Linked DNA regions of Oreochromis niloticus. The protein of the gene in region 2 purifies or fractionates together with the protein of the main gene of each other region. This does not show direct contact. Links are inferred from orthologs where the notes say so. Each region holds a gene or a part of one and is shown on either strand. Other genes may lie near its edges.

What was found. The genes of interacting proteins can lie anywhere in the genome.
Region 1: the proteins of ctnna1 (region 2) and tes purify together in Homo sapiens (affinity purification with mass spectrometry; 3 studies listed by BioGRID and IntAct, with this or other methods). This does not show direct contact. The link is inferred for Oreochromis niloticus from reciprocal best matches to the Homo sapiens genes CTNNA1 and TES.

The regions. Positions count from the first base shown.
Region 1 is NC_031972.2:41,431,246-41,439,538, forward strand, and holds the start of tes (testin), read right to left. Parts: upstream 3,017-8,293; 5' UTR 2,817-3,016; coding exon 2,790-2,816; intron 1-2,789. UniProt on the Homo sapiens protein: Scaffold protein that may play a role in cell adhesion, cell spreading and in the reorganization of the actin cytoskeleton. Plays a role in the regulation of cell proliferation. May act as a tumor suppressor. Inhibits tumor cell growth.
Region 2 is NC_031966.2:29,111,833-29,119,280, reverse strand, and holds the start of ctnna1 (catenin alpha-1), read right to left. Parts: upstream 3,007-7,448; 5' UTR 2,650-3,006; intron 1,167-2,649; 5' UTR 1,154-1,166; coding exon 1,049-1,153; intron 820-1,048; coding exon 624-819; intron 1-623. UniProt on the Homo sapiens protein: Associates with the cytoplasmic domain of a variety of cadherins. The association of catenins to cadherins produces a complex which is linked to the actin filament network, and which seems to be of primary importance for cadherins cell-adhesion properties.

The sequences.
Region 1 (8,293 bases), on a different chromosome or scaffold from region 2:
CAAGATTACAAAGTTGTGCAGGCATCTATTGCCAACTTCCAGTCCTTGATTCTCAGGGGGTTTCAGATGGTACTACAAAGTTGTGCAGGCTCTTGCAGATGTTCTGTCATGTCACACCTTAACAACAAAGTACTTGAACTTTGAGACAAAACGACAAATTATTTAAAGTGTCATTTTACAGCACCAACTAAAACATCATTTTCAACTTCGCAAGTGCAAACGTTTATTGGTATGCTTTAAGGGCGGACAGGCTAAGTGGTCGAAAGCCTAAATATTTATCTCAAGCATGGGGAAGACGACTGTTTTTGGCAGAGCTCATTCAGCATGTATGTATGTTTCCCTGGAAGGCAGCTGCACCATCTGGATTCACACTTCAAGTTAATCAATGACTTTGTTTCATGACTAAGCCTGTGGGGTGATTCATTTTGGTGACAACACTTTTGCTACAAGCCAGTTTAGACACAAAGTCTATTCAGGTCCAGTGATTCAGTTCATGAGTCACTTTACTTGAGAAGGGCAGAGCTGCAGGCCAGTGGCTAGGAAAGTAGTCGCTTTAGCTGGAGCTGACCAGCTCCTTTCAGAGGCTGGACACAGTTTCTGTAACATCATGAAGATGATGTAAAACATGTAAAACACATATTTTTTAAAAGAATGTTCAGTTACTTACATGTATGCATCTTGTGTCAAAGAAGTATCAGTCAAACCACCCTTAAAATTTATGAACAACTTCTTCTATTTTTAAGGCAAACTTTCCTCTGTAAAGGTGGAATACGGTCATAAAACATATTACTATTGTTCAGTTCACTTACTGTTGTTTTAGACAAAGATTTAATTGGTCTCATGACTCACTGGCTTGAACTGAAATTCAGTTCATAACACTGTAATCATTGCAGGATTTAAACAAATAGAGAAATCCTTTGGTCTGGTTCTATTTCGACCACAAAGTCATATGAAAGCTTTAATGATGGTTTAGGTGTTTAGGTAAGAAATAAACCTAGCCAGACCTCCACAGACTTCTAAGAGTCAGCAGAATGGCAGTGCTGTACACCGCAACCCTATAGTCACAGCCTATTACCTCAGACGTTCTGTTAAGTAGAATGCAGCACCTTAATTGAGTATAATATCACCTAAACACAATGGTAATGTTTCCTGAACAAGCGCAACACAGATCACAGCAGCATCTCTGTGAACTTGCAGCCACTAGCAGACAGAAACCCTGCAGCTGTGGCAGGCTGATCTCCCCCAGGGATTACAGGCAGATGTCAGACTGTCTGTCTGGGTTATCCAGCTGCTCAGACCTATTTAAGCAGAGGATTCCTTCATCTTCACTGAAACAGTTCGTCCCTGTAAAATTCTCTCTTAGTCAATTTTTCAGACTGAAGCTGAAAGCTCTGAAATTTGTATACAAAAGATTATTAATGCAGGAAAAATGTAAACCATATTTTTACAAGTGGCTGAAGACATTAATATTGCAGCTTAATAACTCATACAAAACGAACCACCAGTCTGTGTAACCACCTTTACTGCTGCCAAATCTCTTCAGGTCTGTGCAAGGACCCCCAAAGCTCAAGTTAACTTAGTAGCATAAGTTAACAGTACAGTACCAATGTTTTTGCACCATGCCACCAAAACACAATCCCTGTTTGTGTACAAACTTGTCAATAACCATAATAAATAACAACAACAACAATAATAATCCATATAGTTTGATTCTGGTAACTACAAAAGCTTTAACGAATGTTAAAATGCATTTTTCTTTTTCTAAACTACTTAAGAGGTTATAATAGCTTCTGTGGAAAATGCTGACTGGCTGATATTCATGTGTATTCACTACATAAACCTGGATTTCTCGAACAGAATTATTTATACAGATTATCTATGGACCATAAGTAAACTAAGCAGAAGGGGTGCATAAGAGGAATCTAATGAATGCGAACAGCGAGTATCTACAGTGGCCCCTGATGAGGAATGAATGACTATTCACTAGACAAAGCGTGTACTGTAAAAGGGTTTCCTGCCTGTCCTGACTCTTAACTTTTGTCTTCTCCCTTGGATGGCCAAACTCCATTTAAAAAACATTAGATTTTGAAGCATCTGGCTTAGAGTCTCAAGTGTATTATGAGTGACATGAGCCTTAATATTCCTGAAACCCTGCTGACAGTTCAATACTCAATTCGGCAGCTGTAACGGCAACATTTACTTATGGACAAATTAACTATCACACCTGGTTTGCATTTTACTGTCACGGTGATTTGTTCCACTTAATAGAGAGCTGAGGACGCTGAGCAACGCGGATTAATACAGTAACAAAACCCTGAACAAGGGGGACGACTTTGTACGTAAAATGGGTCCGTTAATGGGTCAAGCTGTTCCGCTATTAAGTTACAGAGGTTGGGGGTTTGGTTGATACGCAGAGTGAGACTTTGTCCCATTTCAAACGCAGTTTCTTACATAGGAACTTATTCTGAAAGGGAAGTAACTAAAAAGGGCGCGACCCACGTTTCCCAAGTTTGTAAACCGATCGACTAGAGTTTGTTCCAGCAATATCAACTACTCAAGGATGTAAAAAAAAAAAAAAGCTTATTTAAGCGAAGTAAGTAGATTTTTAATTGAAAAAATAAATAAATAAATAAAGACAATTAATATCTCGAAATTAAAACCGAAACTTAAACTCTAAAATAACCTACAGTACTGTAACTTTTCTGCCACCTGTCCCTTGCTCTGCACACCTTAAGGGCGTTCCCCGGACTGTGCGAGATATCCACGAAGAACACGGGGGCAAAGCTTACCTTCTTTAGCTCCTTCTCTATTTCCATTTTTGTGTTCAACGTTTTCGCTTTCCAGACGTGCTTCTCGTAAAAAAAAACCTGTCAAATCCAAACACAGGCAACAGGAAGAATGCGCCGGAAAAATGTAAAACAAATCCTGCTGTCCTCACTGAATTCTCTTTGGGGGTCCTGCTTCTACTCCGCACAGGTGGTAATTTCGCCGGAATCAAGTCGATAGTTTCCGTTTGGGCATTTCAAAATAAAACATGCACATTGCCCACTAATGAGTCGGGTCTTATTTGTGTCGGTATGATGAAATATTCAAATACTTGTGCATGTATTTTCAAAATCTATGTGTGCATTTGTAGGTGAGAATTTACAAATTGACTTTTTTGTTTTAAACTACAGGGGCGCCTCCAGGATTTTTTCATAGGGGTGGCCACTAAAAATACTGGGTCGGCACCAGTGTTGGTCAAGTTACTTGAAAAAAGTAATCAGTTACTAATTACTGATTACTTCCCCCAAAAAGTAATCCCGTTACTTTACTGATTACTTATTTTCAAAAGTAATTAATTACTTAGTTACTTAGTTACTTAGTTACTTTTTAAAAACACGATTTACAACCTGAATAGGTGATAAAGCGATAGATCTTTCAGCCCAATTCTACTTTTGCTGCATAATTCATCATACAAAATGTAATCAAATGGAAAAGTCTCTTTTTAAAACTTGTTTTATTAGTTTTAATCTTTTAACTTTATGCATCAAGCAAAAATTAAATTATATGCAACATTCTCTGACTGGAAGAAATTTGTTTAACATTTAAACCTATTTTCTGCACATTTCAGCACATAAAATAAAATATTTTTTTGTGTTTACACTCACTCTTTCAAATAGATGCAAGTAAAACACAGCAGAAAATAAATAAAATCAAAGACTAGCGGTCCTGTTGCTCTATTTTCACCTGTAAAGCAGGACTGGGGTAGGTGGAGGTTTACCCTGGTGCAGGTGTGCTGCAGCGGTCAGTGGAAGAATCCGCGAGTTTCTCTGTGAATTTCACATTACGTTGTAGTACACTCGGTGCTTGCTTGGAAGTTTAGGGGTTTTTCCGCTGTAAAAAGAAGTTTTCTTCCCACGCACAACGGACGCTAATGTTTTTGTCACTTTTTATGGACTCAAACTCAAAATAAGGTCAGTACTTCCACGCTTTAAACGCTGCATGCTACACTCTGTCCCGCACTCGATATATTATGATCTGCAGACAGCTGTTGTCACGAACGTCGCACTCGCTTACGTCACTGTCATGAGACGTTCTCGCAAAAAATCACGGTTTTAGTAACGCAGTAACGCAGCGTTCCTACGTGAAAGTAACGGTAATCTAATTACCGTTTTTGCAATAGTAATCCCTTACATTACTCGTTACTTGAAAAAGGTAATCAGATTACAGTAACGCGTTACAAGTAACGCGTTACTGCCCATCTCTGGTCGGCACATGCCAGAGTGAAGGGGGTGATGACGGGAAATCGTGAGGGACATACAGAATGACACAATATGAGTAATAAAAATTGTATATGCAGGAATTAATAAGAAGTGAATGTTTCAGCTCATTGTAGAGTGTCTTCCTCTCTCTTGCGCTCATGTTTATTAAAATTATTATCTAATTTTGGGGGGTTGCCAGTGCTGGTGTGAAGTAAGCAGCGTCATCCATTCGCTAGTTTTCCATGTGAAAATATTAAGCTGTGATCTGAAGTTTTAAAATTAGCCTGGGGATCTGTGTTTTTAGACAAACAAATCAAACTGTCACTGCGCTCAACTGCTGAAGTGACAGTTACATCCTAATGAATTAATGACACATTCAGATAATTATTTAACAATATATTTATTTTATATATTTATTTCATTCTGGCACTCCTGGCACTCCAGAGCAACAACGAAGTAAAACCAAATAAAGCGGTCTCAGAAAAGACTTTAAAAGGAAAACGCAACAAAAATATTTACTTTTACAGACTTATGAGGCTGCTTCATCACAGAACCCAAGATAGTGAAAATGAGGTATTGGACAAATAATAATTGGTTCTGTTCACTACGGCTATTTTGGCATGAAATAATAAACATGGGCACAGCAATCACATTAATTAAGCAAAACAGAGTTTTTATTGTAAACACCTGTAAACACTTGGGTATGCTTATTATTGGTCAAAATCAGTATGACTATCAATTTATAATCCTCAAAGACATATGAAAGGTACACTGTGATGGAAAGACCTGCTTTAACTATCTTACTTGGAGCCTGGTGTTAACTAGTTACGACACTGCAGTTTCTTAATCTTTTTCAACAATTTGGGCTCTTTTACTATGAAAAAAACACTTTCATTACTTCCGGACTTGCCTCATCTCTTCTTTCTTTCCTTTCTAGCTTGACTTTACTTTCACTCAGGAGGTCCCGTACACTTTTCATTGATGTTTGAACAGGGCGGGACTTCCGGTTTGACAGATTTTTCGTCTTAACCAATAAGAGTACAAAAACGAGGCACTGGAGGACAGGGTAGCCAACCAGGAAACAACAGGGGCGTGTCTTTACCTAACAAAGGATGTGAGTGTATTTGACACATTCAACCTGCTGCAGTTGCGGTTTTTCCCCCGAACCTTTTTTCCCCTCCTTCGATCCTCATTATTATGTGTAAATACATTCTAAATGATTAAATTATCTAATTATACACTAATAACGGTGTGAGAATTTGTGACGAGAGAAGATAAGACAAGAAAAATCATTTTTCATCACATATAACAACTGAAATAATCTTAGGACACGTTGTCCACAGACTTACAGCTGGTCCGTGTTGTGAACTGATGTTTGTGGTTTGAACCAAAACAGCTTCATTTTTGACTCAGTGACAGGAAACAATAGTCGTTATCAACTTCCTGTGTGTATGTTTAGTGGAAGCAGCACTGTCACACCCGGCCAGTTGATCTGTCATGTTAGCTGTTAAAGAACCGCGTTTTAATCCAGCTTTTTCGCCGATGCGCTCATTCACTGTGATGTCTGATCTATGCTTTCTGGTATGCCTGTAAACTCTCAGGCAACTGTTTTAGTGGATTTCGTCATTCAATCTGCTGTATCCAAACCCTAATAAAATCGCATCATGTCCGAAGAACCTGCACAATGCGGTTAAATATGTGACTCCAAGATGGGAAGTGGGTCACTTAAAAGTGACCCTGAACCAGAATACACCAACTATAATACTTTTTAAAAATCACACACACAAAATGAGAGAGTAACTAAAGTTAAAAAGTTCAAACGAGTGTGCCCCACCGTTCACCCTACGGATAACTGTGTGGATGCATGGAAGGAGTACATGATGCATGGAAGGGGTGGGGGGTAATACATACTCCCCACCCCAACATACAAGAATAAGGAAGCTGTACACTCTAAAAGTGCTGCATCACTGTGGCCTCAACAGAATTTACACTCTTTTGTATAGTTCACATTTCATGTACTTATTATCTCTCTAAACTAGGGGATAAGTTCAGCTCAAGGAAACTTTAACAGAGACATGGATCAAAGATACTGCCTGCTTTGTTTTTGTAAGTCTCTGTGAATTCTGCAGATGCTTTTTACTGTTTATTTTTCCTCTGTGCTGAGCTTATCAGCTTGGTTGCATAAGAAAAACTTCTAGATAGCAGACAGAAGACAGCCAATGGAGAGAGATGGCATTAGTGAGTAACGTTATTTTGTTACCTTGTAAATTTCCTTTCAATTCTTAAATTCCCAAGTATGTGCTAGATATCTTTTAAATCAGGCAATAAGAAGCAATCCAAGATGCTAGAATGCTGGAATTTTAAAGGCATTTCAAATTACTAAATGTCTTAGCTGTTCAATACTTACTCCTCAATAGGTCAACATTCCCAAGAACTACATCCACTAAAGGTGACCATTGTAAGAGAAGAAAACAAGACAAAAGCTGGGTATTGATGCCCAGCATATTAAAAAGTGATTTTGATGCCTGCCGTCTTCACAGGGAAAATTCATCTAACATTTGGTAGGTGTCTTTTTTTAAAAGCCTCGCACCTGCTAAAATGCCAGATGTAAAGTTTTTGTAGCATTACAAAACAAGTTATCTCATGTCTGGAAATATTTTTACTGACATGCAGGGTTCACAGTGCATGTGTCCAGGCAGCTGGTTTGAATTTAGCTCATTGATGCAGTCCATCTGTAGAGCTGCTCCACCAGTAAGAGAGAGGAAGCTCAGGACACTGCTATAGCGCCTAATACATATACAGTACAGTATATACAGTATTTAAGCCAGCCAGTTAATAACAGCTAATAGTGGATTATGATTTATTAATGTTTCATTGTTTTTTTCCTCCAGATAATCTGTCTATTTCACATAAAGTACCGTTTTTGTTTTTCAAACAATAAAATGGGGAAAAGCAATGAGGACGCAGTGACTAAATACGGTTGAATAAATATATTATTCAACAATAAAGTCATAAATAAATACATTCTCATAGCAAAAATAAAGCCATATATACTGATGATGATATCTTAGTGATTGATGAAATCAATTTTTGCCAGTTTATATCATAAACACCCACAGGTTAAATAAATCTGTGGAAACAGCTATAATTGCTCCATCAAAAGTTAGGAAAATGTGCTGAGCATCACCTCTTGGGTTCATTTATAAACATACTTTATATCTTATTTGCATATTATGAACAAAACCAGAGCATAAATAGGCCATGCAGGAAACTGAACAGGAAGTTAAATAAGCACACTGACCGTATGCAGTGTGTGCACATAGTTCCCAGCTATTGCATGACAACAATACATCTTATCTTATTTCCCAAATATCCTTTTAAAATCTCTTCATGGAAAGTGTGACAGTTTTTTTTAATCTTTAAGCAACTTATACATCGACTGAGCCATCAAACAAAATTGCTGACTATTTGCTATTTGCTTTTCTTATAATGACTTGCTTTTTAAACTGTAGAGGCTGGTGAGAAACAGTATTTCGTTTCAGGCTGGGTAACACCATACTAAATGACAATAAACTTCTTGAGTTCTTAAGTTATATATATATATATGTGTGTGTGTGTGTGTGTGTGTGTGTGTGTGTGTATTGCTAGCATTTGTGAGAACATAAACAGTTTAAAGATGTCAGAGCCTTTTTTAAATGAGTACTTTTTATATTAGTAATAATAATAACAACAACAACAACAGCAACAACAACAACAACAATAATAATAATAATAATAAAAAGAAAGTTTACAGAGTGACAAATTTAGGCATGGAATGATTAAGTTGCGGATTTCTTTCTGGTGTTTTTTTTTTAAATCATGGGGACAATTGTGTAACAAAGTATTAAATACTTCGCTGAGCAGAATGAAGGAGGAAGTGCAGAACAGCCTAAATGTAATGTTCCCATATGAGAACCCATGTTAAAAAAAATTCAGTCAGACTGACATCAAATTTAGCACCAGTGCTTTTATTTTGTAAACTAAACATAAATTCAGTTTGTTCTAAATAT
Region 2 (7,448 bases):
CAAGATTTAAACTGGAATTTAGTTCTTCATGTGAGTACTACATAGTTTATAGTAGACTCCTCGGTAAGGATTTTTAAAAGCCAAGAATACCCCACACACTACCCAAAAATAAGTTCTGAACATTAAGAAACACAAGTAAAATAATACTGATTTGATGTTATGCAAACCTCTATAATATAACCACATCTTTGTATCCTTCTATAACAAAAACAAAGGACAAGAAACGGGAGGTAGCACAGAAAATACAACACTGAATATGGTGAGGTTGATTCTCAAGTTCAGATAACTGGGGAGTATCCTAACACTGCGCTAAGAGAACACAAAGGCTTCTCTGGAAAAGTGGTTACATTTGATCCCCACAGAAGGTAAGGCAATGACACCATCTAGCATGAAATGAATCTGAACCATGTGCATGCTTAAACTGAAAGTCTATTAATGGCCTCATTGAAAAACCCATTTCTAAACGAAATCTATCAGACTCAAACCACATTCTTATTTCAAGGATTTCTGCTGGAGCAGATGATGTATACATAGCTTATGGTTTATTTTTCATCCGTCCTTTCTTAAGAGGCACTCTGTACAAGCATGAAGCCACACTGCTGCAATACGTATTTTCAATATACCTTGCTTGCGGACATCTTCCACAGCAGCAGTCAGCTCATCCTTGAGGAACTGACTTTCCTTTGCAATCTTTTCGCCTTTCTCAAGGAAGTTCTCGGTAGCAGTCTCCACTGATGCAGCCAAAACATGGGCCTTCTTGGAGCGCCCCTTCCTCTTGTTAGATGGTCCTTTATTGCTGGTGTTTACCAAAGTGGTGACCTATGGCAGAGATTCATTAGGATATTATATACCTGCCTACAGTTAATAAATAGTGATAAGTCTAAAAAACAGACAACATATGACACTGCCAGGCAAAATACCACAGTATTAAAATGGTGAAATGCAAGAATGAACCACAGAAATAAATCATATTTTTTTACTTTGCTGTTTTGTGAAATAAGATGTGTAAGGTGCCTCCTTTTAATAATATTAATACTTGTTGTATTACCTGTGTGACCAGAGGCTCCAGCAGCCTTTCCACTGCCAGAGTACGGATCTCCAGGCTCTTCGGGTCCCATTTAAAGTTGATGTTTGGTGCGGTGTTGCTAGTCATGATGTCTAGTTTACTGTTTTTTGTTTGTTTTTTTAAAAAAAAGGTCAAAGAGAAAAAAATGAAACAAATGACAAATTAATTCTTCTGAAGCAGAAAATGTAGACTACAGAAAAAATGGACATCTCTGTCCTTTGATTAACTGAATATTTGCTTCCCTGAATGACTTTAAAGTTATAATTTTTCTTCATAAATCAAGATTTCTTTCAGATTATCAGACTAGTGTCTAGAACTCGGTGCATTAAAGAAATTATTAAAGTCCTTGTTAGAGCCGGCAGTGCTCCATTGCTTTCAGAATGAATGCCAACGGCAGAGCACAGCAACACAGTGGCCCAATTTCAATTTCTCTTTTCAGGCAGTGGCTGCGACCCCATTGATTAGCTATCAAACATGGAGGGGCAGGGATAATCAGGATGGCCCGAGGGCTGAGGGGCTTCAACTGAAAAGTTGGTCAGCTGTATTATGTGAGGAATTACAACACTAGCTATTAGCCTACATTACCAACAAAAATACAAAAATATTAAGAGAAGAACATGGTAACCATGGCTGTCTAATTTTATACTGAATCGTTATATATTAGGCGAGCCATTTTCAGTTCTCCTGTATTATTAACCACTTTTCTTCTTTCCGATATACACAGAGTTTCTACCCATGAGTTAACACGCAGTGAAACTGATAATGTTGGGCAGTGTATTGAAAAAGAAATTCTGTAAAGGTTGTTTGACGAAACGTCTGTTTGTCCACACAACATGACGCATTTCCACTGAAAGCAACGTGAAATGCTAGTCATGACACGAAGGGCCAGCGTGGGAGAAACTGCGTTCACCTCCTCTGCATGGGCGTGGTACATGTCGCAAAGTGATATCTACAAATCTCTGCAAATGAAATCGAAACAGTCTAGCAGGCTTGAGACCACTGATTGTTTATGTACGTGACTTGGGCAAAAATAATATTAATGGTTTAAAACTCTCAAACTAAGCCATATGTAGGTACTAATAAGTGTATATACTGTATCCAAACAGGAAAAATCCCGTAACAAAAAAGAAACATGTTAACACTTGCTGAGAAGCACTAGGGTGGGTCAAACACCTGGTGTGCTAACATTAGCTCAACTTCCACCTGTTGCTAAAACTACCTAAACAAACGTCGGTTTTACCCCGTCAAAAAGCGTCAAACGAGAATATACAAAGCAGAAAATACTCGTGTACACATTTAACACCCAATAACGGTACATCTAGGTCATTTTCGATACTTTATTAACCGCAGGCTACAGGTAACATTAAAACCAGCTTAGCTTAGCGTAATGCAGGTTACCTGCTGTAACACGGAGCTCTCCAAACACAGCGATGAGCTAAAGCTAATGCTAAGCGACAAACAACTGTTAGCCTGCTTTCTGCGGCAAACTTTACCGCCTCAACAGACGGTCCAAATAACTAGTCCACTCATTTTTTTTAAGTATTCACTGTACATAAAGTAAGAAAGACTCGTTATATACTCACCGACAACAGTCCGTTAGACAAAGTGAAGTTTAAAAGTTCAAAATGGAGGAATGGGAATTGCGGAATTCCTTGCGTCAAAAGTTTTCCTCCCGTTTCCTCGCCCCACGGACTTAGTTTAACTGCGCCGCTCACTCACGATAAACACCTAAGTTTTCCTCCCTCCGCCCGACGGCTATACAGAAAAGTATCACAAGCGCTCCAGCAAGTCAGCTGAAAAGTTTCGGTTAGGAGAATTTCGATGGAGTAACGTATTACCCAACAATAGATACGGTAAAAGGAGGAGGAGGGGGGCGCTGGGCGGTGACCAAGTTCCTGAACTTCCAGGCAGTGGAGAAGGGAGGCCACGGGCCACAGCAAGTCCGTAAAACCAGGAGGTGTTTTGGGCGTGGTGCTCGCTGTGTATGTCCATATATGGATTAATTACTGCTTCCATAAAGGCAGGAGTAGGGAAGCGCTATTTAAACTGTTGGGCTACAGAACAGGCTTCTGACCGAGGAAGGAAAATAAACTGAAAGTAGTCATTATGAAGGAATCTGATGTTCAAATATGACATTTGATTTGAGGGGATTTTCAGACGTGACATTTTATTGTAATAGTTTTTGTTTTGTTTTTTCTGCCAGAATTTCTTCGAGATGCAATCATAACGGCTAAACTAGAAAGCCAGGAAAAGATTTACTCTTCTTAAGTCTATCACAACAGAAAAAATAATCATTAAAAAAAAAAAAAACAGTGAAATTCTCCTTGAGCAAATCAGTTCATAATCTCGTATTATTGTTAACTCATGTATTGGACCTTTGTCTCCTGTCTTTACTTTCCTCTCTGCACTGCACCACTCAATGACAGCAATGAGCTGGTGTCGATAACAAACTCCAAGGTTTAAGGTTATTACCACAGGCAGTTGCTCTTTTGTCTGATGCTTATTTTCTTACTCTGTCTCTCTGTGTGCGTCGCTAGCAGAATGTAAAACAGAGCCTTTTCAAACTGAAACTATCTTTTTGTGAAGTATCACGGGCCGTGCAAAACTCATCAGAATTGTGCAAACTCTACTTTTTCCTTATTTACTGTATTTCTATTTATCTTAGCACATATTTCATTAAACATAAATATGCAGAACTAGAGGGGTGAATCAAAACTTTTGCACATCACAGTACCTTCTGCTAACTTGCTGATTATCTTCCTTTCAGCTCCTTTCATCTTTAATGTTAACTAAATTTTGAGCGGCTCGATTTGTTTTAAACTAAAATTATGTTTATCTTTTGTTTATGCTCATGGGTTTTACATGTTAGCAACTCTGTATAACAGAATCCCCTAGGGAAAGCCAGCTGATGTGGCATCAGGTGCACAGACACAATGGGCACGTTGAAGCGCCACTTACTCATTTATTATTAATAAATAAACATCATACGAAAACACTGCAGGCATTCTAGACAAGTAAATTAACCAGCATATCTAGAAATGCTTTGTGGATATGCAAACATGTATGAATTCAACTCTTACGAGGTCAAGAGCAAATATATCTCACGTATGTTGTGGACTGCACTTTTGTGGTTTGTTTCAGCAGTGACTGAGAACACTGAGACATTTGATAAACATATTCAAGTGCTGGGTATTTTGGTTCAGGCTTGATGAAGTGTGAAAGACATAAATAGATTATCTAAAGAGGCCAGGTGCCACCCCTCTAGCCTCACTTTTCTAATTCACACATACACGCGCACACGTATAGCAGTGGTAGCTTCAGTTCTTGGTTCTTGGTTGTATAGAACTAGCTGCAGAGCTGGCAATTAATAGTTTATTAATTAAGTTCAATCTGTATCCTTCTAATGTTATGTGTGTTTATGGCACAAGACACCTCTTAAAGAAATACAGTACTGTGAAAAAGTCTTGAGTTACCCCTCATTTTGTAACATTTTGCTTCCAAGGAGCCAGACTTTCTTGCAATATTGCAAAGTGTTTGTAAGTAAAAGTCCTCCAGGCTTTTCTTTTGCCATTGTTTGCTTTTTAGTCATTTTCAGTCCAGTCCTTGTACCTGACCACTTTCGGAGGAATGTGTTTTTGTGTTTGTTAAGCTACTTAACATGGACCTGTGAAAATCATGTGCTTGAGAAAGGGGGGAAAAATCCAGCAAAGACTTGACCTGAGCAGTACAACTGGCCTACTGTTCAGGAGAGCCACTAAAGGCAAACAGAGGAATAAAAAGACTGAAGTATGCCATATTAGATAAGAGCTGGACTAAAAAAATCTGTTATCTCTGTGCTGGTGTTGTTAATGTTGGTCAGCATTGCTACTGACCAGTCATATTTTTGTGATGTCATAGCTTTGGAATATTGAGAAAAAAGAAAACAAATTACTTTGTTTATATTAAACTCTTATGGAACAAATGGTAAGTGTTTAATTTTTTAAAATAATTTTATGCAATATAACAAACATATGATCAAGTTAGCGTTTCTTTTAGCCAAATTTAGGTTACTTGTGTTGGTTTGCTCCGACAGCGTGACTGGTCAGTTGCAATGTTGAGCCAACATTGTTATGATGATGTTGTACACACAAAACCAACACTGGGGTGTCTGTTCAGGCCTAAAAAGGAATCGCAGCAGGTCTTGTGGAGCGATTAATCCAAGTTTGACATTGTGGGTTTTAATTTTTATGAGAATGTATGGAGTAGCTCAGGAGAGAGGAAAAGCAGTGAGTGTCCACAGCCATGTGGAAAATACGGTGGAGGCTCTGTTGTGGTTTGGGGCTGAATTTAATCCAGTGGTGTTGGATAGCTTGTCTAAACTGACTTATGAATGCAGAAAAGTACCATGAGATTTTGATCCATCATGCAATACCAAGTGGAAAGCGTCTGATTGGCAACAGCTTCATATTCAAGCATAACAATGATCCCAAACACACTGCCACTGCAGTGAAAGCATAACTGAATAGAAAAGCACACAATGGAACACTATCAGTCGTTGACTGGCATCCACAGAGCCTGGACCTCAACATTATTGAAGCAGTGTGGGATAGTCATACCAAATACTGACCTTCAAAACTGTTAGAATCGCACAAACTATACGTGATTGCATGTTTCAATAGATCTGTATTGTCCAAGCAAAATATGAAGAACTGATGGGTGAGATAAGACTTTTCTACAGTGCTTCATGTCATGGTTCCAAAAAAAGAGGACAGTCATCAGTAATTCAAAGCAGTGGACACACAGAACATTACAATCAACAATGCTGTCTTGTCCTGCAGCCAAGCACAACTAACACACTTCTATTTGTTGGCTTGAGTAGGTGTTAATTAAGAAGCTCCACCAGTGCAGCATGAATTACAGTCTTGGAGAGAATGAGCTTACAAATGTACTTATCAAGCTCTTAATGAAGGCCTCGGAATATAATTATCTTTCAGAAAGACACTCCTTAATGTTTTTTTTGTGTGTGTGTGTGTAATAATAATTTGTGAAGTAATTGTTTTTGCCATAGAGTTTTGACCATGCTATAACTTAAGGAGTCATGGATTAAATTTCCATATTAAATTCTTTGGGAGGGAAATACAGCAGTGAACTATCTTGTGTGCATTATTAATTTCAGTGTAGAGCAGAGAAAACTGGCATGTACATAGTGTAACAGAGATCTGTTTATCCAATTAATACTCCATAGAGAAGACGGTTTAGATGTGGTGTAATTGTGTTCTTGAATGATGAATGTTTGTCTAAGTAACAGCTTGCTGGGAGGACAAGTTTGGGTGTCCTTGAACTTCATCTTTTTGTACCTGTTGGGCCCGACAAATGATAAGAGCGCAGCATGCTATAAATAATTCCTTCTCATTATGTGGAAGTGCACATGTTTGTCACATACTGAATGTATAATTGAGTGCATGCAAATCTTCAGCGTGTGGCACTAGAAGAAAATGTGGCAATATTATTTTGCGCTATGTCAGGTGAACATTACAAAAATCAAAATCCAAACTGGTATTTATGCTATCTTTCCTCTTAGCTATCATTGATTCTATAGATTAGCTCTACATTTCTATTCAGGGGACACAGCATCTTATTGAATCACAGTCCTTGGCACTGCTCCACGCCGATAAAAGAAATGCTCATGGTGACTACTAAATGTAAGCATCTTTCACAATTGTGTTATTATCTATTGTTTTTTTCAGTCATGGATGCAACTGTATGTTATAGCTTCCTGTCAAAGTAGTTACTCATGCTTTGACGGTGACTGAACTGGAAGCTGCCTCGCTGCTGGAGGAATTTTGTTCCCTGACATAAGGAAGACAGCGACTTTCAGTCTGCCTACGATCACCTGACTCATCCTGACAGCTGTCCATGGAGCTGCATGATGTCATCTGCAGGCTTTCCCCTTCCTAAGTAAGACCCTGTACCTTGATTAGAAATGAGTGTGTGGTGATGCATGGCATCAGAGAGAAGTCAGCCGACTAGTGACGCTAATGATAATCAGTCATTCATCGAGACAGTCCTGCAAAGCGGAACAGAAACTTACATTATTCCAGTGGACAAACAATAAGCCCTTACGACATATCAGACATGCCTACAGGTAGGTGTTAGGAAGGTGATGTCATAATATCAGAGGTCTGCCTTGCTTGTCTGATTGGACATATCGGAAGGTCACAGCGACCATGACTCAAACACTGCTAAACTATTCTTTGCAGTCTGCTGAGCTCCACCTGCTGGTTTAGGCTTTTTGATCAGACTGTTCCCTGCTATCCCAGTGGAGCTGCTTTGACAGAACCTCTCCTTGACTTAAAAAAAGGGCAAGGAACTAACGGAATAACCCTTTTTCTGTTTCTGGGTC